Linked DNA regions of Stegostoma tigrinum. The protein of the gene in region 4 purifies or fractionates together with the protein of the main gene of each other region. This does not show direct contact. Links are inferred from orthologs where the notes say so. Each region holds a gene or a part of one and is shown on either strand. Other genes may lie near its edges. The genes, in order: pkma, siah1, ezh2 and ctnnb1.

What was found.
Region 1: the proteins of ctnnb1 (region 4) and pkma purify together in Homo sapiens (affinity purification with western blotting; 5 studies listed by BioGRID and IntAct, with this or other methods). This does not show direct contact. The link is inferred for Stegostoma tigrinum from reciprocal best matches to the Homo sapiens genes CTNNB1 and PKM.
Region 2: the proteins of ctnnb1 (region 4) and siah1 purify together in Homo sapiens (affinity purification with western blotting; 4 studies listed by BioGRID). This does not show direct contact. The link is inferred for Stegostoma tigrinum from reciprocal best matches to the Homo sapiens genes CTNNB1 and SIAH1.
Region 3: the proteins of ctnnb1 (region 4) and ezh2 purify together in Homo sapiens (affinity purification with western blotting; 4 studies listed by BioGRID, with this or other methods). This does not show direct contact. The link is inferred for Stegostoma tigrinum from reciprocal best matches to the Homo sapiens genes CTNNB1 and EZH2.

What each region holds. Positions count from the first base shown.
Region 1 is NC_081389.1:14,446,852-14,453,760, forward strand, and holds the start of pkma (pyruvate kinase PKM), read right to left. Parts: upstream 3,024-6,909; 5' UTR 3,009-3,023; coding exon 2,980-3,008; intron 1-2,979. UniProt on the Homo sapiens protein: Catalyzes the final rate-limiting step of glycolysis by mediating the transfer of a phosphoryl group from phosphoenolpyruvate (PEP) to ADP, generating ATP.
Region 2 is NC_081369.1:29,622,287-29,629,302, reverse strand, and holds the start of siah1 (E3 ubiquitin-protein ligase Siah1), read right to left. Parts: upstream 3,025-7,016; 5' UTR 2,595-3,024; intron 1-2,594. UniProt on the Homo sapiens protein: E3 ubiquitin-protein ligase that mediates ubiquitination and subsequent proteasomal degradation of target proteins.
Region 3 is NC_081355.1:98,007,358-98,014,203, forward strand, and holds the start of ezh2 (histone-lysine N-methyltransferase EZH2), read left to right. Parts: upstream 1-3,820; 5' UTR 3,821-4,104; intron 4,105-6,846. UniProt on the Homo sapiens protein: Polycomb group (PcG) protein. Catalytic subunit of the PRC2/EED-EZH2 complex, which methylates 'Lys-9' (H3K9me) and 'Lys-27' (H3K27me) of histone H3, leading to transcriptional repression of the affected target gene.
Region 4 is NC_081355.1:8,430,127-8,438,132, reverse strand, and holds the start of ctnnb1 (catenin beta-1), read right to left. Parts: upstream 3,018-8,006; 5' UTR 2,907-3,017; exon of another isoform or gene 2,901-2,906; intron 2,817-2,900; exon of another isoform or gene 2,687-2,816; intron 1-2,686. UniProt on the Homo sapiens protein: Key downstream component of the canonical Wnt signaling pathway.

The DNA.
Region 1 (6,909 bases), on a different chromosome or scaffold from region 4:
TAAAGCTGTTGATTTCAACTGACTGCCAATTACAAACTAAATTAGATTTGAATGAAACAAGTATTAGCCATAGAGTCTCAGAGATATACAGCATGGAAACAGACCCTTCAGTCCAACTCATCCATGCCGACAAGATATCCTAAATTAATCTAATCCCATTTGCCAGCATTTGGCCCATATCTCTTTAAACCCTTCTTATTCTTATACCCACCCAGACGCCTTTTAAATGTTGGAATTGTGCCAACTTCAACCACTTCCGCAGGTAGTTCATTCCATACAAGCACCAATCTCTGCATGAAAAGATTACCCTTTAGGTCCCTTTTAAATCTTTCCCGTCTCACCTTAAACCTACGTCTTCTAAGTTTGGACTCCCCTACTCTAGGCAAAAGACCTTGACTATTCACCCTAACCATGCTCCTCCTGTTTATGTAAATTTTCTAAAGGTCACCCCCTCAGCTTCCAATGGTCCAGAGAAAACAGCCCCAGTTTATTCAGCGTCTCCCTATTGTTCAAACCCTCCAACCCTGGCAACACCCTTGTAAATCTTTTCTGCACACTTTCAAGTTTCACAACATCCTTCTTGTAGCAGGGAGGCCGGAAAAGAACACAATATTCCAAAAGTGGCCCAACAAATGCCCTGTACAGCCGCAATATGATGATATTTTCTTTTCCAAAAATTGTGCACACACTCAGTCCTAGTGACCAGAATTATTTTTTTTCCTTATTTTGATGGAATCTGTGCAATATTGGCAATGCCAGTGTTGGTTGCCCACAAGTAATTGCCTTTTGAGGGCTGTTAAGATTACTGTGTGTTTTGGAGTCATACATGAACCAGACCAGGTTAGGATGGCAGGCTTCGTTCTAGTTAGGTATTTGTGACAACTTATGGCAGTTTAATGGTCACTATCACTGAGACTATCTTTCATTTCAGTTTCTTTTCAAACAAATAAGATTACATTGGGTTACTGGTCCAGTGACATTACCACCGCCTCTCTCTGATGTGCATTTCACCAATTTCAGAAGGTAGAGAGAAACATTTTAATGAGACAAGACCACAACTGAATTGATATGATAACAAGGTGTGGAGCTGGATGAACACAGCAGGCCAGGCAGCATCTTGGCCTGCTGTGTTCATCCAGCTCCACACTTTGTTATCTTGGATTCTCCAGCATCTGCAGTTCCCATTATCTCTGAATTGATATGATGCTTTGTTTCAAAGGCAAGAAGTGAATGTTCAGAGTGTCATTCAAAATCAAACCTCACCTTGATTCTACTAAATACAGAAGTTTCTTCAAGAAAAACAAAATACATCATCTCTATTATCAAGCTCACTTAGTCCTTCTTGCTCAATGTTGCTGCTTCTGACCTCAGGCTGGGTAAATTTGCCTCCATAAAGCAATGTTTCCGACTAAGAATGAGCAGTTGAGCTTGATGGGTTTGAAGGATAGGAAGAGGGTGTATATGTTGGGGTTGTTTTCTCTGGACCATTGGAAGCTGAGGGGTGACCTTGTGGAAGTTTACATAATCATGAGGAGCATGGATAGGGCAATTAGTCAAGGTCTTTTTCCTAGTGTAGGGGAGTCCAAAACTAGAGGGCATAGGTTTAAGGTGAGAGGGGAAAGATTTAAAAGGGACCTAAGGAGCAACATTTTCACACAGTTTTACTCAACATTTTCTCAAGCTGCAATAAAACATTCTGCCACTGTATTCAAGGGTAAGGGTGCCCCACACAATTTCCTCCCTTCAATCAATGTCATTAACAATCTCCACCATCTGGTCATTACAATATAGTTGTTTGTGGGGTCTTGCTGTGCCCAGGGTTGGAGGGTTTGACCTATATGGATAAGCTGAATAAGAAGGGGCTATTTTCCCTGGAGCGTCTCAGGCTGAGAGGGTGACCTTATCGAGGCTTATACAGTCATGAGAGGCATAGGTAGAGTGAATAATCAAGGTCTTTTCCCCAGGGTAGGGAGGTCCAAAACTAGACGGCATTGGTTTAACGTGAGAGGCGAAAGATTTAAAAGGGACATAAGGGGCAAACTTTTCATGTTGAGAGTGGTACGTGAATGGAATAAGCTGCCAAAGGAGGTGGTGAAGACTGGTACAATTAGAACACTTAAACAACATCTGGATGGTGCATGAATAGAAGGCGTTAGAAGGATACGGGCACAATGCTGGCAAATGGGAGTAGATTAATTTAGGATATCTGGTTGGCACGGATGAGTTTGACCGAAGGGTCTGTTTCCATGCCGTACCTCTCTATGACTCCACATTGATTGCCATAGTTCCTATGTTGCAACAGAGGTTGCACTTCAGAAGCGCTTCATTGGTTTTAAAGCATATCAGGATAGTCTCGGTTATGGACAACTCCATACAAATGCAAGTCCATCTTTTCTACTCTTTGCTTTTAGCTCTTGCCTTTTGTCTGTCCAAGAATTACTGGGTTGCTAAAACCTACTGCACAAATCACAACACTTCTGGTCAGCTGTTAGCTCTTGTTCGTTCAATCATTTCACTGTTTGTGTTTTCTCTGACACATAACCTAAGGACTCAAAACTGTCATGAACACTAGAGGCACGTGGGAAAAATATGTATTTATAAAATCCACCTGACCCTTGTAAGAGGATAATGGTTTAACGATTAACCGAACACCATTATCCAGATGAAATAAATCTGTGCTTGTAATAATTTCCTAAATTTGAAGAACGATCAGTAGATACATATTGAAAATGTCTTTTTAAAATATATTGTCTAATATAAAAGTATAACATGACATTTCATAAGAATGAGCCATAAGATCTGAGAAGCAAATATTTGCCAATTAGAATTTATGTTGAAACAAACCTTTAAAGGGAATAAAAAATACTTTTTATATATTACAACAAAAGCTCAGCTTTTGAATTGTCACACATTAACATGGTACAGATATTTTGAAAAGGATATACATAGTCACGTTTACTGCTTTAGGCTTGTACTTACACTTTGGTATTACTTGCAGCATTGCCCATCACAGATGACCAGTTAGAGTAACTCTGCAATTTTTAAAGCTTTTGAAATATTAGTCACTTTTATACAGGAGAAAACCTCAAGATTCGGGCTGCTCTAACACCCATTAGAGATACATGAGGGCGGGGGAAACATTTGATTGGCATGCCTGTACAGCCAATAATTGTCAAAATCTTCAAGACTCTTGACTGACATTTTAAGCCACCAATAGATGGGCACAACCATTACAACCCTGCCCAATAAATAGGGTCAGAACTAGGAATTGCTAGAAAAAACTCAGTAGGTTTGTCAGTGTTTGTGAAGGGGAAATCTGAGTTAATGGTTCAGGTTAGTGATCCTTCCTCAGAATGCAACAAACAGGGTGCCTTGTCAGGTACATAGGCAATATTGGGGTTTTATACCAATTAGAATTGTATAGATACAAAAACAGAGTTTGCTAAAGAAACTCAGGAGGACTGGCAGCATTTATGGAGAGAAAGAACTGTTAATGTTTCAAATCCAATGACCCTTCAGAATGTTCTGGAATTGTGCAAAATAGACCTTAAGTAATAAAAACAGAAATTGCTGGAAAAGCTCAGTGGGTTGGTAGCATCTGTGGAGGAAAAATCAGAGTTAATGTTTCAGGTTGTGTGATCATTCCTCAGAACCTAAGTAATGACTGCAGGTTTGAATCAGCCCTGGTTAGTTGGGGGGGAAAAAAGTAATGTTACAATGATGTCAGGCCCTGTTTGCTGCTTCTGCTGGTGACTCATGCTGCAGGTTATGTTTAAAATTTGTTGATGGGATTATGTACGTGGGTGTTTGTTGCCTTTGAAATGAGGGAGCCATTTCAGAGGATGGTTCATAATAAATCACATTTCCATAGGTTTGGAGTAACTTGCACAAGGTGGTGGTAGTAGTAGCAGATTTCTTTCCTGAAAGAATCAGGTGGGCTTTGTTTTTTAATAACATTTGATGGTTGTTACAGTTGTTGCCATTATTTGACAATCATTCAATTGTAGGTATTAATAGTTAAATTTAGTTAAATAATTAATTTTGCAAGCTGCTGTGGTGGAAATTGAGCCTGTGACTTTAGAACATTAACCTCAATCTTTGGATTGATACTTCACTGATTATTACCACTACATCAGGCAATCACCTGAAGGTTGAAAGGGCTATGGGGACAGTGCAGGGAAGTGGAGTTGAAATGCCCATCAGCCATGATTTAAATGGTGGAGTGGGCTTGATGGGCCGAATGGCCTTACTTCCACTCCTATGTCTTTATGGTCTTATGAAATTGGTAGTGCTTACTATGTTTTCATTTCCCTGCTCTCTGTCAAACTCCATCTACCTTCAGGAGCCTCTGTTGTGTTTTTGATTTCTGATTATATTTTCTGTTCTTTATATTTTTCTTTTGAATACTAATCTGACTGGATTGGCCATTTGACCACCAGTCTTCAGCAAATTGATTTTGATAAATCAGCTTTGGTTTAATCACACTCTTAATATTTTAAACTATCAGAGAACTCAGGAATGACATTTGTTTAATGTGGTACAGGGGTGTAAACTTTCTAGCTGTCTGATCAAACTGTGATGAGGCTTTCAGAGCAAAATCTGCAACACTAGAAGAGAGAGTTTATTGGCAACTTGAGCTAAAAGTAGTCAAAACAAGTCAAAAGAAAAACTTGATCAACTTTCATGATTTTAGGATGCCCCAAAGGAACATACAGGCTAGGGTGAATTTTTGAAGAGCTGTTCCAGTAGAAGAGATGTGACAGCCAATTTGTACATAGGAAGCTCCACATGTAGCAGTTAAGGGCCTGGGTCAGGATTGAAACTGATAAAATCATAGAATCCTGACAGTGCATAAGCAGGCCATTTAACCCATCAGGTCTGCACTGACCCTCCCACCCATCTCACCACCCCCCCACCCCTTCCCTGTCTCTATAAACCCTATTTCGTATGGCTGAACCACCTAACCTGCACACCCCCAGACACTATGGGCAAATTAGCGTGGCCAATCCACCTAACCTGCACATCTTTGAATGGGTAGAATCTTTCAGTTTAACTTTAAATTAATGGAGTGTGATCATTATAAATCTAACAAGAACTTGGGATGGGCCTGTTTAATTTAATAGTTAAAAAATGGCAATTTCAAAAGTGCAGTGATCTCTTAGTGTGATTGTAAATGATTTACTCATGTTCCTAGACTGGGGCAAAACCCTAAAAAGTGAGAGAACTCGATGTGAAGCTGGATGAACACAACAGGCCAAGCAACATCAGAGAAGCAGGAAAGTTTGACATTTCTTCTGAAGGGTCTCAACCCGAAACGTCAAACTTTCCTGCTCCTCTGCTGCTTGGCTTGCTGCGTTCATCCAGCTTCACATCGTGTTATCTCAGATTCTCCAGCATCAGCAGTTCCTACTATCCTTAAAAATTAGGAATTGCTGAAGTGAGAGATAGTATTAAAAGTTTTTCATCTTACATTCATCAGGATAAAAGGACAATATTCAAGCCTTACAACTTATTTCGAATGTCCCTGTTGCTTGGGGAACCTCGAGTTACCCTACTGTTTTCCCCATGGTAACATTTTTGGCTAATGTCAATGTGCTGATTAATTAATTAACACCCCTGTCTCATCAGGTGTAAATTGTCATGATTATTCAAATTTTGGCATTCTTGCATTTGTTCTGATGGGTAAAACATGGAAAATAATGGTAACCTGTTTCTCTTTACAGCAAGATTTAAGGTTGATGCACCAAGAAACTCTGTGACCTGAAAGTCTTCTGACTCAAAGATTAAACATTACCAATGAGCTAGCCTGACACTTAGCTCACACACAGATGCGTGCACTAAATGTGGAGACAGGCATTCTCAGGGTCAAGTGACTCTCTCTCCAAATTCAACAATGAGAAAGAAAAAATAATAGCTCCAATCAGCAAGTTGAGAGCTGACCAGCGAGCTGCTTGTGAATTACTAACCTTCATACTGAAATCTCACCTCCACCAGAAAGAGCCAGACAATCAGAACCTGATGGCTTCTTGGCACTAGACAGCATCTCTCAAGGGCTATGCTTTAGGGGTTTAAATGGCAAGAAGTTATGTGCTTTGATTTCAGATCTGAGTATACCCACCATCCTGTGTTACCATCCTGTGTTTCCACCCTCCCCACCAAGACTGAGGCAAATAGAGTCTCTCTCCCCAGCCCAGAAGGAGGCCGGAGACGAAACCTGACATTCTTCTCATCTGCTGGAGAGGCAGATAATCAATCTAGTGGTGACACTTAACTGATCACATAAAAGCCTTCATTGTTTTTTGAGAAGGTTTGGGCGGCACGGTGGCTCAGTGGTTAGCACTGCTGCCTCACAGCGCCAGGGACCTGGGCTCAATTCCAGCCTTAGGTGACTATCTGTGTGGGGTTTGCACATTCTCCCCGTGTCTGTGTAGGTTTCCTCAAGGTGCTCGGGTTTCCTCCCACAGTCCAAAGATGTGCAGGGTAGGTGGATTGGCCATGCTAAATTGCCCATCGTGTTCAGGGAGGTGTAGATTAGGTGGGTTATAGGGGGTTGGGTCGAGGTGGGATGCTCTGAGGGTTGGTGTGGACTTGTTGCCACACTAGGGATTCTATGTTCTATATTGTAGCTCGGGCCACGGATGAGGTTGTAGGCTTGCTCGCCGAGCTGGTGTGTTTGATTGCTGATGTTTCAATATGCTGCTGGGTAACATCATCCGTGCACCTCTGGTGAAGCGTTGGTGTTCTGTCTTGGTTATTATTTGTATGCTTCAGTTTGCTGGGTTCGTCGGTGTTACTTCCGGTCAAGTTTTTCAGTGATTTGTACATCGGATCCAGTTCAATGTGTTTGTTGATGGGGTTGCATTTGGAATGCCAGGCCTTCAGGAATTCCCTGGCGTGTCTCTGTTTGAC
Region 2 (7,016 bases), on a different chromosome or scaffold from region 4:
CCTTCATCCCTAGAGAACCAGCCAAGTAAGTATATCCCTCCTTAAATAAAAGCCACCAAAACTATTCAGAGCAGTCAGGAGGTCTTACCAATGTTACGTGGTTATATAAAAGAGGTTGATAAGTCTAATCCCAGGTCAAAGTGGGATACAGAATTAAAGTGGTAGCACTTGGCACCTGAAACATGATCAGGTAGTGATCAGCAAAGCTGCTATTCAACTTGCTTTTGGTCTCTTTACAGTGGAGGAAACCATACTGAGCAGTGAACAGAGTTTACAAGGTTGCAAGATGCCCAAGTAAATTACTGTCTATACCATGAGTATTTTGAACATTGGGGAGTGGTGAGAAAAGAAAGAGACAGGTATTACACTTGCGTAGAAAGGACAAGTACCTTCCAGAGAACCCGAGTTGCCCAAGGGCAAATTGGGACAGGCAATAAATGCTGGCCAGCCAGCAATGCCCAAATCCCACAAGGAAATAAATTTAAGTATAAAAATGGCCCAGAGACTGCAGACCTGATCTTTCAGCCTGTTGAAACAATAGAAGGTGCTTCTTTGCAACACTAAAAAAGATAAAGTTGCCATAGTTTTTGTTTTTAAAAGAAAATTCACATGACAGTCATCATGGATCGACCACCATTTATTGCCCATCCCTAGAAACCCATGAGAAGATGATGGCGAGGTGCTTTAAGTAGGTCCACAATGTCAATGAGGGAAGTAATTCTAAGGATTTGACTGAGCGACATGTTTCCAAATCAGAATGGGGAACTTGCAGGTGGTACGCTCACATATCTACTGCCCCCGTCTATCTAGATGGAAGTGGTCTAAGGTTCTCTGGCAAGTCAAGTGAGCTGATTTGTACTGGATGGCTTTAAGTTTCTTGAACTTTGTTGGAGTCATACTCCCACGAGCAAGTGGGGAGTATTCCAATATGCTACTGAATTGTGCTTTGTAGATGATGGGCAGGCTTTGGAGTCAGGGAATGAGTTCCTCATTGCCAAATTCCTAGCTTGGGCTGCTTTTGTAGTCAGTCTTTTTTATTTTAAAAAAGACAAAGACAGTCTAGTTGAGGTTCTGATCAACAGTAACACCAACTCCGTACCCCACACTATTGTGCATGTCTTATTGCATTTGAACATGGACTGCCTCAGTATCATGAGATGACAAGACCACAGACTACTGAGATGACTCAGTGGTTTAACTCAAGGATCACCACACATCAGGAAAGGGGAAAGAGGTTGAAAAGTAGCATCCTTCATGGCAATTCCAGCCAGTGGAAGAACTGAGCTTATGTTGGTGTCACTCTACATTGCAAACCAGCCATTCAACCAACTGAACTGACCAATTCCTCCATATTAATTTGACAGAAATAAGCATTAAGTTGTCAAGTGCAGAAACCGTGAAAGGAAGTGGTGGACAAGAAAGTATGGTTTATTTAGGCCAAAAAGGTAATCCTCTGCTAGAAGGATGAGGGGAAAAACCTATTCAGTAAACTAGTGACAGGGCATTCCTACCAAAAAGGCCAATTTTTCACTTTTCCAAATACTAAGCCAGCCTTATCGTCTCCTTCCTTATCACCACTGCCCCACCATTTACATTACAACACAATTTTTCAATGTTTAAGTGCTTTACCTGGTTACTCCAGATACTTCAATCCCAGCAGTGACTAAGCAACCAAATAACACTCCGACACAGACGTTGCGTTTAAAAGTTACAATTGGGGCAAGGTGAAAAGAAAAATATATTGTTGGAAAATCCTTTTATAGCAGGCCTAGTTTGCACCTGCTACATCTAAAAGACGTCAACGTATACGTAGTGTTGGGGCTGCCTGTATTATTACAGACTACGAAAAGATTCACACGAATTAACTGGAGAATAGCTTCAGAAGCTACTGTACCAGATTGAGACCTCGTGATCGGTGGCAAATTATATTATCAGCAAAGCGATTGTCAACATGGAACAAAGACGCAGTGGTTGGAGTTTCCCCCTCCTGCACACATTTCCATTGCATCAAACATAACAGAAGACTAAACGTACTGGATCACAATCCAGAACCAACATTTTTGTTTACCTTCCCGCTGTGTTACTACAAACAATAACTAAAAATAAAAGCTGCTGAGAGAATACGGTGGAAGTAACCAGATCGGAAACGCAAAGACTTGGCGATCGTTCAGAAAACTGCGTTAGGAGACACATTCGCAGGGGTAGCTCTAAACAATGCGAGGTCGGAATGAGTAAATAATAAATTAAAACGCCAGCGAACTGGACAGCCCAGCCATTTCTAACAATAGCGAGTAGGAGAGCGAGCAGAGGGCCGCGGCCTACTAAAATCTCGCCATGCCGGCGGCCTCTCCCGCACAAACAATCAACACAATCCGCTCCCACTGCAGCCTCCGCCAAAGGCCAGGAGCCCTAAGCCTTCCGAATAAAACACGACAAAGCAGCAGGAGGGCGGACTGGCTTGCCCTAGTCATGCAACATCGGCACTAACTCTGGCCGCAATGGCCCTCCCCAGCGAACAGAGAGCTTCCCCTTCTCGATTCCCACCTCACTGCCTTATGGCGACTTTAAAAGGTCCGATTTCTGACTGTACTCACCGGCGTTAAAATGCAAACTCGAGTCGCACCCAGATACGTCGCTGCTTATTGTGTGCGTCGCACTCCTTGCCCACTCTCCTGCTCTCTCTGGACAGATGGATCAAAGGCTGACCCGCTGCCGACTCCAGACGCGAGGTGGGCCAGCGGCTCCTTTCTCTTTTCTTTCCCCCCCCCCCCCCGCCACTGTCAGCCTCCACCACCCGCCTCCTGCTCCCGCGCGGCGGCACCAAACGGCCGCGCTCGAGCTCCCCACAACGCGCTCACCTGCCCTTGCGCAGCGCGCCTAATTATTCCAGTGGGTGGGCCAATCAGCGGCAATAGCCAGAGCCCGCGCGAGCCTGGTCCACAGACGGTGACGACAACGACCAAGACTGTGAACTGGCGTGTCAGTGATGGAAGTGCTGAAGGAGCTGAGACCAACCTTGTTGTCACCGAGGTACACATCACTGAGTAAAACACCACATTATGGGAGGGACCAGAACATACATGGACGATAAGATTGGTCAAAGCTAGGATTACCATGTCGGGCAAAATTTAATAGTAACATATAATAAATAGTTTTTATGGCACGCTAATGCAGTGCATTGGAAATCAAACCTCACTTCTGCCGGAGTCTTCACAGAAAGATTAATTAAACTCTCCAGGGTCCCCATTTAATTTGATTGCAAACCCAAGTAAAATGAAAATACTCATAAGGTATTGTACCACAGAATCCCGACAGTGTGGAGTAGGCCATTTGGTCCATCAAGTCCATACCTACCATTCGAAGAGCATGTCATCCAGACGTACCCATATTATCCCTGTAACCCCATATTTCCCACGGCTAATCACCTAACCTGCACATCTTTGGACCTTTGGGGGGCGGGAGGGTGAACTGGAGCACCCGGAGGAAACCTACGCAAAGACGGAGAATGTGCAAACTCCACAATGTCACTTGTGGGTGGAATCAAACCTGGGTCTCTGCCACTATGAAGCAGCACTGCTAACCACTAAACCAGCCATGTCACCCATTTTCAGGGAAAGTTGGGATGAGGGAAATACAAAGGATTAAAACTGGTATTTAACCATAACTTTACATTTAACTAACTACTTAACAAGAAAACGTTTAGATTTTGCAAACAAATTGTCTTTAACTGATGGCAAAAAAATTACCAACTTGTAACTCTTTATATTTTAATTTCTACCCCTTTTAAGAAGCTTTTCTGGGCTTAATCAAAAGGGTGTTAGGCCAGCTTTTCTGATGGCCAAAGAATTGTATTTTCATCGTAGACGGGAGTTACGCAGGGAGATTCTGCCATTGGACCTGAACCCACCAGAACTGACATCCACCCTCCTCACCGTACCCTCGAGACTGTAGCACTGACCTGGCCCCCTGGCCAAATTCCAGACATGTTCCCACTTGGCACCCTACTTACCTTGCAGCTTACCCCTCCTCATCCACAGTCCATCCCGCTCAGGCATTTTATGTGTGTCACTGTACCATTTCCCCAGCTAGCACCCTATGCACCTTGCACTCCATCCGTATGCATCTGACATCTTACTGCTAGGCATCTTCCCTACCCAGCAGGCGCTTCATATACCCAACAATCTACCTGCCTGCCAACCTAACACCTACTCATCTGGCAACCGAACTCAAGCATCCAACCCCTTCCCATCTAATATCCCACCTCTTCCTAGCAGGCATCTGATCCATCCTATTTACCTGAAGCATTGGAACCCACCACTAACTATCTGGCACCCTAATCGCTGGCATTCCACCATTCCACAACTGGCATTCTACCATTCTACTTTTGTGGCACCATTCCTGTCTGGCATACTAGCATTCTAAACCCCTACCTATCTGTCACCATTGACTCCCAGCACCATAACCCTATTCTAATCTGATGTATTCACTATTTAACAGCAGCTTCCAAAGTCACTGTCTGGACCTTTAAATCTCAGAATGCAGCAGCTGGCTGGTAGGAAAAGGGAGCATGGATTTCCTTCCTGTGACAGTTTTGCAGCACAGAAGAACTGACAGAATAAAAGTACAGTGATAATGGGAACTGCAGATGCTGGAGAATCCAAGATAACAAAGTGTGGAGCTGGATGAACACAGCAGGCCAAACAGCGTCTCAGGAGCACACTAGCTGACGTTTCGGGCCTAGACCCTTCATTAGAGAGGGGGATGGGTAGAGGGAACTGGAATAAATAGGGAGAGAGGGGCAGGCGGACTGAAGATGGAGAGTAAAGAAGATACGTAGAGAGGAGGGTATAGGTGAGGAGGTAGGGAGGGGATAGGTCAGTCCAGGGAAGATGGACAGGTCAAGGAGGCGGGATGAGGTGGTAGGTAGGAAATGGAGGTGCGGCTTGAGGTGGGAGGAAGGGATGGGTGAGAGGAAGAACAGGTTAGGGAAGCGAAGACAGGCTGGGCTGGTTTTGGGATGCAGTGGGGGGAGGGGACGAGCTGGGCTGGCTTTGGGATGCAGTGGGGGGAGAGGAAGAACTGGGCTGGTTTTGGGATGCAGTGGGGGAAGGGGAGATTTTGAAGCTGGTGAAGTCCACATTGATACCATTGGGCTGCAGGGTTCCCAAGCGGAATATGAGTTGCTGTTCTTGCAACCTTCAGGTGGCATCATTGTGGCACTGCAGGAGGCCCATGTTGGACATGTTGTCTGAGGAATGGGAGGGGGAGTTAAAATGGTTCGCGACTGGGAAGTGCAGTTGTTTGTTGCGAACCGAGCGGAGGTGTTCTGCAACGCGGTCCCCAAGCCTCCGCTTGGTTTCCCCAATGTAGAGGAAGCCACACCAGGTACAATGAATACAATATACCACATTGGCAGATATGCAGGTGAACCTCTGCTTGACATTGAAGGTCATCTTGGGGCCTGGGATAGGGGTGAGGGAGGAGGTGTGGGGGCAAGTGTAGCACTTCCTGCGTTTGCAGGGGAAGGTGCTGGGTGTGGTGGGGTTGGAGGGGAGTGTGGAGCGGACAAGGGAGTCGTGGAGAGAGTGGCCTCTCCAGAAGGCAGACAAGGGTGGGGATGGAAAAATAGCTTGGGTGTTGGGGTCGGATTGTAGATGGCGGAAGTGTTGGAGGATGATGCGTTGTATCCGGAGGTTGGTGGGGTGGTATGTGAGAACGAGGGGGATCCTCTGGGGGCGGTTGTGGCAGGGGCGGGAATAGAAGAACAGGTCTGCATTTCAGAAGGAGTCCTGATTAGAATCTCCTCTCAGAAATGTGAAATTGTTTTTTCACTAAAGAAGGGCCAAAGTGGCAATCTACAAGTGATTGCCAGTTCTCTGAAAATTTGGTCTATTGTTTTATTAGTACTGAATTTTATTTTTGTATTTGTTCATGGGATGTTGGCTGTTACAGTATTTATTGCTCAGAGTACAGTTAAGAACCAACCACATTGCTATGGGATGTCAGATTTCCTGCATCAAAGGGCATTAGTGAACCAGACAGGTTTTTCATGACAGTTTTTATTGCATTCAGATGTTTTATCTTCCATAGTGAGGTTTGAACCCATGTTGTCAGGGCATTAGTCTGGGGCCCTCTGGACTACTAGCCTAGGAACAATACCATGAGACCAGTGTCTCCCAATAAAGTGTCCACATCATCCTTAACTAGCGTCACCTGTCTGGGTGTATCTCACTCGGAGGTAGGAAGGATAGCCGATGCTGGAGTCAGAGATAACACAGTGTGGAGCTGGAGGAATACAGCAGGATAGGCAGCAACAGAGGAGCAGGAAAGTTGACGTTTTGGGCCAGGACCCATCTTCAGAAATGGGGGAGGGGGAAGGGAGCTCAAATAAATAGAGAGAGGAGGAGTAGGGCTGGGGAAGGTAGGTGAGATGGTGATAGGTGAGTGCAGGTAGGGAGTGATGGGGATTGGTCAGTGAGGTGGGAGGAGCGGATAGGTGGGAGAGAAGATGGACAGGTCGTGTCAGGTCAAGGAGGTGGAATGAGAGGGAGGGTTGGAAGGAATTGGGTCTCCGCCGCGTCTGCTCCCAAGATGGGGTGTTCCACTCCTGAAGATCCCAGATGTCTTTTTATTTCAAGGACTGCAACTTACCTGGTCGGTGGTTGAAAATGCTGTCGACTGCAACTCTTGCGTTTCCTGCACCACTGCCCTCACATTCCCTCTCCCCAACAAATACAAAGACAAAAACCCCATTGTCCTCACATATCACCCCACTAACCTCGGTATCCAATGTCTCATTCTCTGCCACTTCCGCCACCTACAGTCTGACCCCACAACCAAAGAAATATTTCCCTCCCCACCCCCCTCTGCCTTTTGTCAGGACCACTCTCTCCATGACTCTCTCATTTGCTCCACACTCCCCACTAGCTCCACCACCCCTGGCATCTTTCTCTACGACCGCAGGAAGTGCTACACCTGCCCCTACACCTCCCCCCTCACCTGCATTCAAGGCATCA
Region 3 (6,846 bases), about 90 Mb from region 4:
GCACCATTTATGTACTTAAATATCTTGATGTGCTTCACAAAACTACATGGAGAAACGAGATTCAAGGGAGTTCTCTTTATATCCTTATACTTCAGTTTTAAGCTTGTACTGAATACAAGAATCCACATTGTTTGCTGGGTAAACAATAACGAACAATAAAATAATATTGTCCTCGAGCGCGAGAGAGAGAGAGAATGAATGGGAGTAAATAATAAGAAAATAAGCAAATTGTTTGCAAAAATAAACTGTAATTTAAACTTAGATTAATGGTAACCAAGAAACCACTGTTTACTATCCTAAAAATCCATCTGGTTAACTAACATTCTCAGGGAAGGATATCTGCCATCGTTACCTGATCTGGTCAACTTGTGACTAAGGACCTGCAAGCAACATGGTTGACTCTTAAATGCCCTCTAAAATGGCCTCGCAAGCCACTCAGTTGTACCAAGCCACAATGAAGTCTCAAGAAAGAAATGAAACTGAACAGACCACCTGGTATTGATCTCGGCACTGGAAACAAAGCAAACTCAGCCCTGTGAAGTAATCCTTACAAATATTTGGGGGCTTGTGCCAAAATTGAGAGATCACATTATCTGCAGGTATGATTCTGCAAGCGTGATTATTTCTCAGACATTGCCATAATCAGCTCAGAATATTCTGCCCTGTTGACATGACGGAACCACCCAGAGGTGGTGGCAGAATGGTACAGTCAGGAGGGAAATGTTTCGGCAGTCTTCAAAATTGACTCTGAACCCCACAAAGTTTAATGCTATCAGGCCAAACATTGGCAAGAAAACATCCTGCTGATTACCTCACACTAATTCCCCTTCCCTCAACTGATGAATCAGTTCTCTTTCATGTTGCACACCAATTGGGAGAACATGGCAAGGGGAAAGAATGCATTCTGGGTTAGGTATTTCAACATAAATCACCAAAGTGGCACAACAGCACACTAATGACCAAACTAAGATTCTTAGGGGTCTTGACAAAGAAGTTGTATACCCTTGTCTAGGACCAGAGGGGATAATCTCAGAGTAAGGGGTTTCCCAGTTAGGATAGAGAAGGTTTTTTCCCCCTCTCAGAAGACAGTAAATCTGTGCAAACCTTTACAACAGAAGGCTGAGAAAGTTGTGTTGTTAAGTATATTCAAGGCTGAGGATTATCAAATCAATCTTAATTGCATGGTGGAACAGACTCAATCAGCCAAATAACCTGCTTCTATCTCAGATAGCCTCATATCCCACCCTCAGTGTTGGAAGAGAAGACCAGTACATTCAGGACTAAAAACAAGGCTGAAGCATTTGCATCAATCTTCATTCAGAAATGCTGAATGGATGATCCACCTCAGCCTTCTCCTAAGATTTCTAGCATCACAAATACCATGCTTTATCGACTTCAATTCACTCCACATATTAAGAAACGGCTAAAAGTGCTGGACCATGATAACATTTTGGCAACAGTACTGAAGTTGTGTCCTCCAGAATTAGCTATGCCCCGAGCCAAACTGTTCCCATTTAGCTATAAAACTAGCATCAAACCAGCAATATGTAATAATTGCCTAGGCACGTCCTGTACGGTATATGCAAAAAGCAGGGCAAGTCCAATGACTGCCTCATCAGCAAGGTGACCAAAGGAGTTGCTGACAGTGTCATCAAGTACCAATTACTCAGCAAAAATTTTCTCATTGCATTCAATTCCACTCAGATCTGGAACTCATCATATCCTTGGTCTAAACATCGACAAGGTAACTGAAGGTGAGGTTAAAGTGATGATCCTTGATATCAAGGCAGCATTTGAGTATCCTTTGTTATGGATAGTGTCAAGCTTTTTGAGTTTTTGAGCTGTAGACATGAGGTAAATGGAGAGCATTCTATCACACTTCTGATTTGTGTCTTACAGAGGATGAACGGCTTTTATGGAATCAGGAATTGTGTTATTTGCTGAAGAATTCTTAGCCTCTGACCTGCCCTTGTCCAGCAACATCAATTCTGTGAAGGAACCCTAGCATAAATGGAATCAATGGGAATCATATGGAAAACATTCTATGTTTGGAGGCTTACCTAACACAAGGGAATTGTTCAGGACCATTTGTGACTCCTCAGATACTGACGAATCCATATCCCCAAGCAGCAAGACCTGGACAATGTTGATGCTTCAGGTGATAAGTAAGCCTGACAAATCGCAGCAACATTCACGTAATGCAAGTGCCAATCAATGGCCACGGGAGAATTTAATCATTTCCATTTGACTTTCAAATACATTACCATGTTGAAACCCCACTACCAGCACAAGCTTCCCATTGAACAAAACTGAACTATTAGCCACAGAATTGATGTGGCTGGACAAGGGCAGGTCAGAGGCTAAGAATTCTTCAGCAAATAACACAATTCCTGATTCCATAAAACCCGTTCATCCTCTGTAAGACACAAATCAGAAGTGTGATAGAATGCTCTCCGTTTACCTAATGTCTACAGCTCAAAAACTCAAAAAGCTTGACACTATCCATAACAAAGGATACTTCACTGGTATATCATCCACTACTTTCAACATTCATTCCCTTCACCTCTGACAGATCATGGCAACATTGTACACCAATTACAAGATGCATTCAGCAACTCACCAAGGTTCTTTTGACTGCGCCTTCCAAACCTGCACCCTCTACCATCTAAAAGGGAATGTGCAACACATGCTTAGGAGCATCACTATCTGTAAGTTTCGCTTCAACCCACAAACCATCCTGATTAAACTATTTTGCCATTTCTTTATTTGAAACCCTGCAACTTCCTTACAGCCAAATGACTTCTGTGGCAACCTCCCCTACTGTGGGTGCACTCCATGGATTGCAAGGAGGCAGCCCATTACCACCTCTCAAGGGTAATTAGAGATGTAGAATAAATGAATGACCAGAAAAGCACCTAACTAAACCCAGTGAAATATTGAAGCACATTCAACAAAGGCACAGAAATAGATGTTCGCATAAACATTTTTGAATAACTTGTTTAATATGGTTGCACTTCGGACAAAATATTCGTTCGTTTTAAGCTGCATCTAAGTTTTTTTTGTTCCTGAAGGTAGTAACCCTGGCAGGGATCTGCTTCTACACGTGCCAAGATCCCTCTCACAGATAACCATAATTCACTTGAATGTAGTGTCAAACTATTACTGTGGACAGAACCCCGAGCAAGTTTGATCCTTTCATTGTCTGGACTACATACAGCCTTTCCAGTAGAAGACAGACCGGAAAGTCTCAATTCACGGGGGTGTCTAGGCTGATGCGGAAAAACAAAATGAAAATGGTTTCAAGAGAAAGCGAAAATGTTCGCATCGTTACGCCCAGCTCCATCTGAAACATAAGAGTGAATCCGGAACGTGAAGTTAGTAACCTTTCACTAGTAGAACTTGCTCAAAACTGAAAATGCAACAGCAGCAACTCTCGGTGCCAAGCAGCCAATGGTGACAGGAATCTTCATTTTCAGGCTGGGGAACAAGGAACTATAAATAGAAACCCGCACATTACAATTGGAGGATACACCCGCATAGCTTGAGTCATCCCTTGACATCGCATCTCGATGTAGCTCCGTCCTGACAGATCCAAGTTCCACGAGCGCGACTTACTCAACGTTTACCAGAACGACGGGCACATAAAAAAAACCACCCCTGAAAGCCCCACAAAGAAGCACCACATGGTCACATCCCACACTCCCATGCGAGGTTAATGCAGATTGGAGGAAAGTGGGCCTCCTGCGCCCAATGCAAGAAGGGTTTGTTAGCAGGCTTCAGCAAAGTTTGATTGGATTGGACACGTTGTTTTCGCGCCCTATCTGTGTAGCCGGGCGGAGAACGAAGACAAAAGGAGAGAAAGAAAAGAAGAGTGAGAGCTCGGAGACGGAGTGCGAGCGGGACAGACAGAGGCAGTCAGCCACCCAGCCGAGGACGTGAGAGTAACGGCTGCCGGCCGGCCCGATCACCGTCCTGACACCCGCGTAACCCGGCTGTAAACTCACCCAGTAAAACTCTCGCAAAGTTTCGGCTCCAAGTTAGCCCGGCTGACAGCGGCAGAGAAGGAGGAGGTCAGCAGGGATCAGCTTCTGCTTCTCCATCCAGGTAAGGAAGAGGCGGCAAGAATAGAAGTCTCCGTCAGTCCGGTTGGCTGCGGAAGCCCTGGGCTGGCGGAAATTTGAATTCCAACGGCCAGAGCTGGCGGCCAAGCGTTTGGAATCCGCGCGCTCGCCACGTTAGGTTCCAGCCTTCCCCCACCGACCCCCTCCCCGAGGGGCAGCGGGTGTAGCGCCGGATTCCCCGGAACATGTTTCCTTTAATTCCCAATCATAAATAAAGGGACAGATTGAAGGCCTGATCCGATCAGACTGTGTAAATCATTCTTTAATCTTGTCATTCACTCGGGGAGCGATTCAGTGTTTTCAGTCGGCTCCAATTTTATCAGCTGCCGAGTTTGAACAGACCAATGGGGGATAAACTTTATCTATTGGAAGTTGATTTCTGCCCCCCCCTCCCCTTCTTCCCTACTAATTCTCCGCCCTTCAGTTACTCCGGGGGATGCCCTTCCTCCGCTTGGCAGTGGAATTAGGGCATGGTGATTAACTCGTTTAGCGGCGTGATGAGAAAACCTAGAGTCATCAAGTGGGATGTAACAAGTAGGAGGTTAAAAAAAACGCATGTCTTATAGCGAAAGAGCAGAGGAGTGGGACTAATTGGTAGTTCTTTCAGAGAAGTCATACACATGATGAACTGAATTGCCTCCCGTGATGTATCATTCCCCTATTATGACGAAAGAGATCTAAAATCAAAATCTGGGATTGAGAAACCAGTCGATATGATGTCAGTGTTATGGGGAGCTGCACGAATCTACACTTAAAATGGTATAACGTCAAGAAACAGAACAGTGAGGTCAGCCTGGAGGTAATCAAATGTGGAGCTGGCTGAACACAGCAGGCCAGGCAGCATCAGAGGAGCAGGGAAGCTGACGTTTAGGGTCTGGACCCGTCTTTTTTTTTTCTGAAGGGTCCAGACCAGAAACGTCAGCTTCCCTGCTCTGAAGCTGCCTAGCCTGCTGTGTTCATTCAGCTTCACATCTAAGACTCCAACATCACAGTTCCTACTATCTCTGAGGTCAGCCTGAGTGCTTACCTCAGTGAAGTTCTAACAGTGCACAGGGTGTGTGTGGGAACCTAGGACTTCTGAACAGGGTTAGCCCTTTGAACCTGTTTGCCATTCACTAAAATCAATACCGATCTGGCTTCAGAGTCATTGATGCCACCACCATCTCTGTTCCATGACAAGGGAGTCAATTTTCTTCTAGGATGTACTTGGCTGGCCTGTTTGCCCTTGAGAAGATGATGGTCAGCAGCCTTTACACCATAGTGTAAACCCTCTCCCTGAGTTGAGTCATCCTTCTCTGAACTGCTTTGAATGCAATTATATCACTCAATTAAAGGGAACAGAAGGCTCCACAGTGGTTCAGATGATGATTCAGTAAGGCCCTGCAGTAAAAGCTGCAGTAAAACTGCCTTTCACATTCAGTTCCCATTACCAATGCAACCTATGAGCTGAGTGCCTGCATGTTTGTTCTGAGGATCTGTCTGTGCCAATCTGTGTGCCATGCATTCATTTTCAGTTTTTTCAGCTATGGCCACATGTGGCCCTTGAAAATCCATGCTGTAGCTGAAAAAATTAAAGGTACATAACTGGTTGCAATAAATGTCAACATTCTGTTGCAAATTATAAAGATGCAGTACACGTTAGGCCTTCAAGAGGGTGAACACAGACCCAATGAAATTTGGGACATGAGGTCAGGACGTAAGTAACTGGTTGGAAAAGAGGGGTAGAGATCAGAACAAGTATTTTGCATCTATCACCACTAGGACTAACATCATAATTTATATTGATGATTTGGCTTTAAGATTAAGGGATTCTAGATCAATTTGCAAATGACACCAAGGGAGCACACCTGACACTGAGCACAAATGCAAGCTGCAGACTAGGAAGTTAAATGACAAGTGAATTTTAATATTGAAATGAGTTGAGTAAGTATAACCTGTGGGGCGGAAAAAGAAAAACATTACCTATGTTTTTAGAAAATTAGAAGTTAGTGGAACATATTAATCCAGGAATGGAAATAGACAAATAATTAAAAGCAACATTGAAGACAGTCAAAATTATTAGAAATGATAAAGCAGTGCCATTTATTTGTAGCAGTATTTAAATTAAGTCATGAAGTGGTATTAAACAAATCTATGTATTGAGTACGGAGTACATCTAGAGCAAGGCATAAAGTACTGGGACAAGTATGGAAATGATTTTCAATGCTGCAAGATTAGGTGATTACAGCTCTTGTGATCGATTAAACAGAGAACTTTTTTCAGGAAAAATGACTTGGAAATCTGAGATGTTTTGAAATTCATGAGTGGTTTGGACAGGATATGTGTGGAGAAGATGTTTCCATTTGAAGTTTGCAAAACAAATATGACATAAAACACTGTTCACTCTTTTGGGTGATGTAAAATATACAGGTCAGTTTATCTTTCAGTGAACAAAACAGAAACGGCTTATGTGGTAATTGTTGCAGATGATTCCAAAATTTCACAAGTGAGTGAAGATTTTTCTCTTCATTTCAGTCTGAAATGATCAGTGTACACTCCTGGTATAAGCTCAGTCTTGTGGGTACTGCATTCCTGATCACCATAACAAAGTTCCAAGGAGCCTCTTGAAACTAATACTCATTGGGTAGGTTATTTTCAAGAAAATATTCAACACAAACATTCTGTCCCTCACACTCGTAGAGCTGTACAGCACTGGAGCAGACTTTTTGGTCAACCTGTCCATACT
Region 4 (8,006 bases):
GGAAGCAAAACAGGGCAGTCGAGGACTCCAGCTTGCTTTTCATATGCACAGGGAGGGGTTAGTGCAACTGATAAATCCTTCTCTGCTCCCCCTATTGTTTACAATTATAGAGTAATCCAGTGCAGTACTGTGATGATTGGTGGCCAGCAGCCTTCAAACCACAGTCCAACTGGAGCCACAATGTTCACGAAAGGAGAGATAAAGGGTATAATTATCAAAATACAAATGCTAACTTAACATCTTTAAATTTCTTTCTGCTGCACTGTTTAGTGCAAACAAAACAGCTGCAATAAAATGTACAACATATACCAGAACAATGAAATTCATGCAGCATCACCACTTCTGGTGAAACTATGAGAACACTAATTTTTCAAAAAAAAGTCATTTTCAACAGCTTTCTCAATTTCATAATCAGACAGCAATAAAAGAAATCAGTAATTGGAATGCAACATCCACTGAATGAATTGTCATGCTCATAATAGTATAAAATAAAGCAGTTACAAGTCACCAAGTCCAATGACACCAAAATACATGAAGCCCATAAATAAACAGAACAGCCTTTAAGTTTAGCCAATAGTTTAAAATGCAAAGCATGTATTGCAATACAAACCTCAAATCGTGACCACAGATCTTTTGTGACTACTGAAAATTTTGTTCTTATTATGAGATACTAGAACTGGATTTCAGAGATGGAATTCTGACTTTGTATCCATTTTCCCAGAAGATGTACACTACTGTCAATACATATTATCGTGTGCTAAAAACATCTGGTCAGTCACATAGGAAAAACCAGTTGGTCCTAAACACTTCACATTTTATTTTCTAAGTTAAATACATAATGAAATTTCAAACAAATTGTTTGATACTACACCATCATGTTTCTCTTTCCACTCAAAATGGAAGTGCCTCAACTTAACATCCAAGTCTACCAACAGTACAAGATTCCTGCTTCTACATGAAATCCCAACTTTCATTTGAAACTGTAATTAATGCACTGTACAGAGGGAAAACAAACTTGCAAACCATGAAAATACTCAGAAACCAACTACAATGAATACAGATGTGTAACTATCGATACGAAGATTTGAGATTTACATACACACAACATGCAGACAACAGATCTGACATGTAAATCAACAATTCACAGAAGCAGAATGTAGGAAAGAGACTAGAAAGATAACCCACAATTGTCACAGTCGTGGCCACACTAAACTTATGTACTCTGCAAATGGTATCCTCAGAACATGAAACATGCAGCAAAAGCCCATATCACAACAAGACACTGGAAGAAAATAGATAGTTTAAACTTGCTCTAAATTTATCAAAATGAATTTGTGCATGTATGCGCCTTTCCTCATTGAGGTTAATAGATAATCCACTGCTTAAAAATTACATACTAGTGTAAAAACAGATCTATTTGCCTATGATAAAGCATTTATCAGCAAAAATCTCAAAATGCAAATCCCAGACTGCTGTATGAGTCACCTACTCATTTGGTTGTTAATGAGCAAGTTTTGTCCCATTTCATCAATTTTCACCAAATACAGCTCAGGATTCCAGGCAATTTCTCAACCATCTCAGCATATACTTGCACACTCAAAGTTTGGGTGTTAAGCTGCATGCTGCCAATTTAGAAAACAAAATCACTTCACCAATGGAAACCCACTTTGTAATTTCACCCAGTTAAGGCATTCACTTTCCCACACTCCTATAATTTACAGATGCACTTTTACAACCTGTGGTAAAGAGTTAACTCTACAACCTTTGTAGCCCAGTCTTGTAGCCATGAAGCCGGGAAAACACTGGCCCCTCTGCTTCCAAACTTCTTAAGCCAAGTAGGAACACCCTCCCATCTCCCTGTCCAGACTGGAGATGCAAACACCTGCCCTCCACCAAAGTAGAAACCCATCCCACCACATCCACGTTGGGATTTAAAAACACATTCAGGGTAACGATCGTATCTCTCTCGCTCTCTTTCCCCCAGCCCGGGAACACAATTTCTGCCCCTTCCCACAGTAATTAGCACAAAGCTCCATGGTTACAAACTGTCTCCCACCCCCTCAGGGTAAACAACCTCCATCTCACTTCTGCCCCCTACTGGGGTAAATTTTCCCTACTTAAGCCCCTCAGATTAAAGACCACCTTTTCAATTCTTCCTCCAACAGGTTAAGCATCCTCACACCTAACTTGTCTCCACTCTCCAGTTGAACCCCCATCCCCTCCCCCGATTTGGGGTAAAGCCCTCTCCAGTTGCCCCCTTTCTGGGGGGGGGGGAGAAATTCCTTCCAGTTCTGAGGGTTCTCTCCCCCCCATGAGGGTAAAGGTGCCCCCCCTCCCCCAGAGGGTTGGAAGCTCCCCTCTGCTCTCCCTCCGGGGGAGAAGATACACCCTCCTCTCTCTCTCTCTAGCCCCCCCTCCCCTCCCAATCACCCACGGTTTTAAACCCCTCTTTCTCCTGCCCCCTCTCTGGGGTAAACTCCAACCCCCTTTTCTCCTGATAATAAACACCCGCCCTTCCCCCGATGCCACGTTGTTCGGGAGTTAATCGACTTTTCGATCTTTTAATTCTGAAAGCGGGAGGATCTGGAAACTCAGTCCCTCCTCACTCACCACCTCGAGAACAACCTCTAATCCACCCCCTCTCCCAAGGGAAGGGCCGGAGAAGGCCGGGCTCTTTCTCACCCACCGTCGCTGAAGGACGGGCACCTCTAAAGTCGGGAAGCAGCGGCCACTCCAACTCCTCTCCGCGGCTTCGAGAGTGATCGCGGGGGTGACGGTGAACTCTTAACTTCTTTACGTATTTTTAATAAATGTCTTCGCTCTTCCTCCGGGTCGCCCCGCTATCAGCTCTGCCCACCACCATCTCTCTCTCCCACGCCCCACTTTTCCCTTTCACATACACTCACTCTCTTACACTCCTCCTCCTCCGTCTCCCGCTTTCCAACAACCGCCGCTGCCAGCGACTCCAATCAAAATGGCGACCGGCAGCAACGTCTCTTTATAAAGTGGCAGCGACACGGTGCGTGCCCCTCCGCCTGCGGAATGTAGTGCGTAATTTTCCAGCCCACACCTGGCAGAAGGAAGGTGAAAAGGGGGGTGTTTATAATTAAAATAACAATAACTTAACCCTTCTCCGGCCTTTATCACACGCAGACAACGCATAAACCTATGTCAAACTTAAAATTTTACAGCACAGTCTAGAGTTGGGTTATGTTTGATCTGATTTGTGACTGTTGATAAAACCTATTTTTGCCTATGCCCACCCCCATTTCTTTTCTACTGCTCCCTTACCCAGGCCCGGAACGTCGCGGAAGGATACTGGCTAGGTGCCGTAGCCACAACACCTTGTGGTCAAGGATCGCTGGAACCACAGAGGCAGCGAGTAGCAGCTCAGCGAAGCAACTTTATTTTTGCAGCTGCAATGAGACTTTCCACCATATGCATAACATCCTTTTATTTATTTGGACTTTTATGTTCGTGAATTTCATATACGTTTCTGCATTGGGGCCAGAATTGCAATAAATTTCTCCCCTCCCTTTCCCACCAAACTTGCATTCTTCGCGATTGAGTTTTTAACTTTCTAAAGTAAACAGTTAACTTCAAAGACCCGAGTTTTGCAAACACAAAAGACGAAGCGTGGGGATAAAAAGAAACCCGCACCATTTTCTTTCGTCGGGGAGGAGAGCGAGCCTCAAGAGTTATTTTGGTTGTAACACGTACGAGTTAAGCATTTCAAAAAGTAATGAACTCACCCAAAATTCATTGAAATTCACGGAAGTAGAGATGTACAAAGTTCACTTCTAGGCATCCCACACAAAGGAAAAATGCTGCAGCATTAGTGGAAAAAGTATTCCAGTGTGCAAAAATACTTAAGTCGCAGCCTGGTTGGATTACCGAAAGCAAAACCGATCCTAAAAATAAGGCTAGAACAATGTGGTCTTTTATTTGCAAAAGTAATTTTTCTATTCCCACTTACTTCCCACATGAATCTTCCTGGCTCAATCTAAAAAGAAAACAAAGCTAAATCAATTATGATTTATAACCTTCGGAACTGCATCATTTATTTATAAACGTTAGCTTCAAGCTGTGCAAATGTAAAGTAACCACACTATCCATGAAATGGAACCCCAAATGAAGTATTTAAGCCTTGAATTATGTGAGATTTGTAATTCTTATTGGTGAAGACGGCATCTGGCGTATTATTAGCGAAAAGTGTTACATATAATATGCAATTATATTTTTACATTCAGAAGGTTCTTATGCTCAAGACATTTTTAAAAATCAGTCAATGAAATACTTGTGAAGTGTAGTAAATGAAGAATACAGCAGTCAAAATTGTGTCACGGTTGTGTAGCATGTACTGTGGTGATCTTACAAAGCAATACAGATAGGTTAAGTGAGTGGACAAAAGAACTGGTAACGAGTATAATGTGGCAAAGTGGGAAATTATCCATTTTGGCAGAAACAGCAAAAAAAATGCATATTATCTAACTGGTGAGAGGTTGCACCGCTCTGAGATGCAGAGAGGTCTGCGTGCTTGTGCATGAATCAAGGAGGGTTGGTACAAAGGTACAGCAAATGGTTAGGAAAACTAATAGAATATTATGTTTTATTTTGAGGGAAATTTAATGCAACATTAGGGAGGTTATGTTTCAGTTATAGAGGACTTTAGTGAGACTGCATCCAAATTATGGTATAAGTACTGGTCAACATACTTACAGAAGGATGTTAATGTATTGGAAACTGTGCAGGAAAGATTTACTCGACTAATAACTGGAATGAACAGATAGCCTTATGAGGAAAGGTTAGGCCTGTGTTGTCAGGAGTTTAGAAGAGTCAAAGGGACTTCATTGAAGCACAGAAGATCCTTCTGAGGGGCCTTGAGCAGGTGGATATCATGTGAATCTCTTGTAAGGGAACCTAGAATAAGAGGTCACAGTTTAAAAGTGAATGGTCACCCCTTTAAATCAGTGATATGGAAAAAATTCTCCCCGAGGATTGAGAATCTTTGGAATTCCCTTCCTCAAAACACAGTGGATGCAGAATCTTTAAATATTTTTAAAGCAGAAGTAGACAGATTCTTGATTCCTGAGGGGTTCAAAATTATCGATGGGATATGCGGGAACGAAGAGTTGTGGTTAAAATCAGATCAGCCATGATCTTATTGAATGGGGGAACAGGCTCAACGGGCCAAGTGGCCTACTCTTGTTCCTTCTTATGTTTATATCCCTACACCATGAGAACAGCAGGAGCTCATGAGGGCAGCACACTCTCAGTTTTTCCATGGCAATTATGGATGGGCAACATATGCTGATGTAACCAATGGCTCCCACATGTGCTGTTGAACAAATAAAAAGAACAGCTGCCTGACGTTGAGATATATTCCCAGCATTTTCACATATTTTATTTAACTGTATACTTTGATAGTTAATCATTGTCTAGGTAACCACTGTCTGATTTCATAAACAGAATCATCTATTAGTACCCATCACATTTGAGTGTCATTGTGCAGCCACTCACTGATTGGTTGGTTGAGCTTTATTTTGCTGTAATTCAACTCAAACATGATATCATGGGAGTGACTGCCTGATCCTGTGACCCAGCAGCATCTTTATCTGAGGCATGACCTCAATCGAACACAGCTCGCCATTGGAAGATGTCAATATGCGTATTGGACTGGGGTGGACAAAGTCAAAAGTCGCATGACACCAACTTATAGTTTAGTTCAACAAGTTTATTTGCAATCACAAACTTTTGGAGCACTGCTCCTTCGCCAGTGGCAGCATATGGGATTGTGATACAAACTCAAATAAGTTTAACAGGTTGGATGACATTCTGGAATCCTGTGGTACATATATTGTACCTTTTCTTAAAGTCATTTTTGTAACCCTTTTTTCTGTCCTTTTTTTTCTCACCTGTTTTTTGCATGTCCTCAATAACTATTTGCTGATTATTGCCAATACCACTTAATTTCCAGGCATTAGAAGGCAGTTGATATCTGCACAATATAACTAGCTCTCTGGTACTTAATTTCATATGGAATTACTTAGATCTTATGTGTTACTGCCCAATTGAAGCATTATTAAGACCTGCAACTCAACACATGTAACATGCAAGCCAGAGTACTTCTGTCAACCAGTACTTGATACTTCCTGCCCCGAAACATGAATTTAAGTCTTTTGATTGCAGCATCCTCACTATATAATATGTGTCAGTGCCTTATGGTACAGATTTCATTGATATTGTGACCTCTTGAGAATACCAAATTTAAACGTATCACCATGGGTAGCTGTGCCTTCATCTGCAAATGTCCTAAACTCTGAAATCCTTCCTTGAAACCCTCTACCTCTCTTCTCCTTTTTCTTTTCTTCAAAATGCTCCTCAAAAAGCCTACCTTTTTGGCAATCTTTTTGTCATCTTGTCAAAGGCTGCAATCAGCTGAGCCATGATCATATTGAATGGTGGTATAGATTTACTGGGCTGAATGGCCTACTGCCAATTATAATTCTCATGTTCTTAGGATTTACATTACTTGCTGCAAAATCTTTTTCCTGTATTGTGCCTGTAAAGTACATTGAGGTGTTTCACCGTTTGAGAGGTGCGTTATAAATATATAATGGGGGCAGAATGGCACTAGACTATTAATCCAGAGACCCAGGCAACATTTTGGGACCCGAGTTTAAATTCTTCCATAGCAGATGGAATCAACAGTCCAGTGATGATCATGAAAATCTTGTCAATGGTTGGAAAAGCCCATCTGGTTCACTAATGTCCTTTTGGGAAGGAAACTGTCATCCTTACCTACTATGGCCTACATGTGACTCTAGACCGACAGCAATGTGGTTGACTCTTAGGAATGGGCAATAAATACTGACTTAGCCAGCGACATCCACATGCCATGAATGAATTTTTAGAAAGTTCTTGATTCTTGGTTTTGATCCAAGTAAGAGCTTATGGTCTGGAACAAATAGAGTTAGACTTGGCACGTCATTGATCCTCATGATCACTGCAAAGACATCATGAAAAAACTGTTCAATGCTAGCCAAAGTGCAAATCCCAGATTTCTCACCATCTAACACATACGGCAACATGAACAGTGAAAGAACTTACTGCTTCGATCATTGCTGCAAATTGCAAAAACAACACTCCATTCTTTTCAATGTTTTAACAAACACAGTCAACTGACTTTTAAAACACATGGAAACTCACTGATGATGTGCCATTTAAATGCAAAACTATTGTCTCCTGAAAATCTTTTTTCTTCTCAATAAGAAGGGACAATTTTTTTGCATTAGGCCCCCTCAGAGCCTGTAAACTTTTCATAGGAGTGGAAGGAATAGATAATCATTGATTCCAATGATTATTCCTGTTAGACAATTGATAATTATCAAACTATATGTATATGAATACAGCAAGAACAACCAATCAGAGACAAAATAATTTCACGGTAAGAAAGAATTCTGGAACAACTAAAGCTGTAAATCGATAATGATTTTTATGCCAAGATGATCCTTCATTATTATAAGGGAGTTCCATCAGCAATGAAATAAACTGACAGTTTGAAAATTATTTTTCCAGACATTCTGTTTTCTCACATTGGGGCTGTCTGAGTCAGAGTAACATAATTCATCTGGAAATAGAATTATTGATGTATTAGGAATTTCAACAGTTTATGTCCTGACCAGGAATAATTTTGAACATAAACTCACAAAAATAAATATGTATACAATGCCCATATATCAAATTTTCATTCAAGGAATGTACAAGTTCCCTCCTAACTGATCAATGTTTGAAGCTAAACAATGGCATTTTAGATTTCTGTAAGAAAATCAAGGAGGACAAATTAGCCAATGCAATGTGTAGTGTCATTGCCTCAGAGCTGGAAACTCCAGATTTGAATCTCACCTCAAGATGGGTCCATGAATAGGAAGGATTTAAAGGGAAATGGTCCAGATGCTGGCAAATGGGACTATATTAATTTAAGATACATAGTCAGCATGGATGAG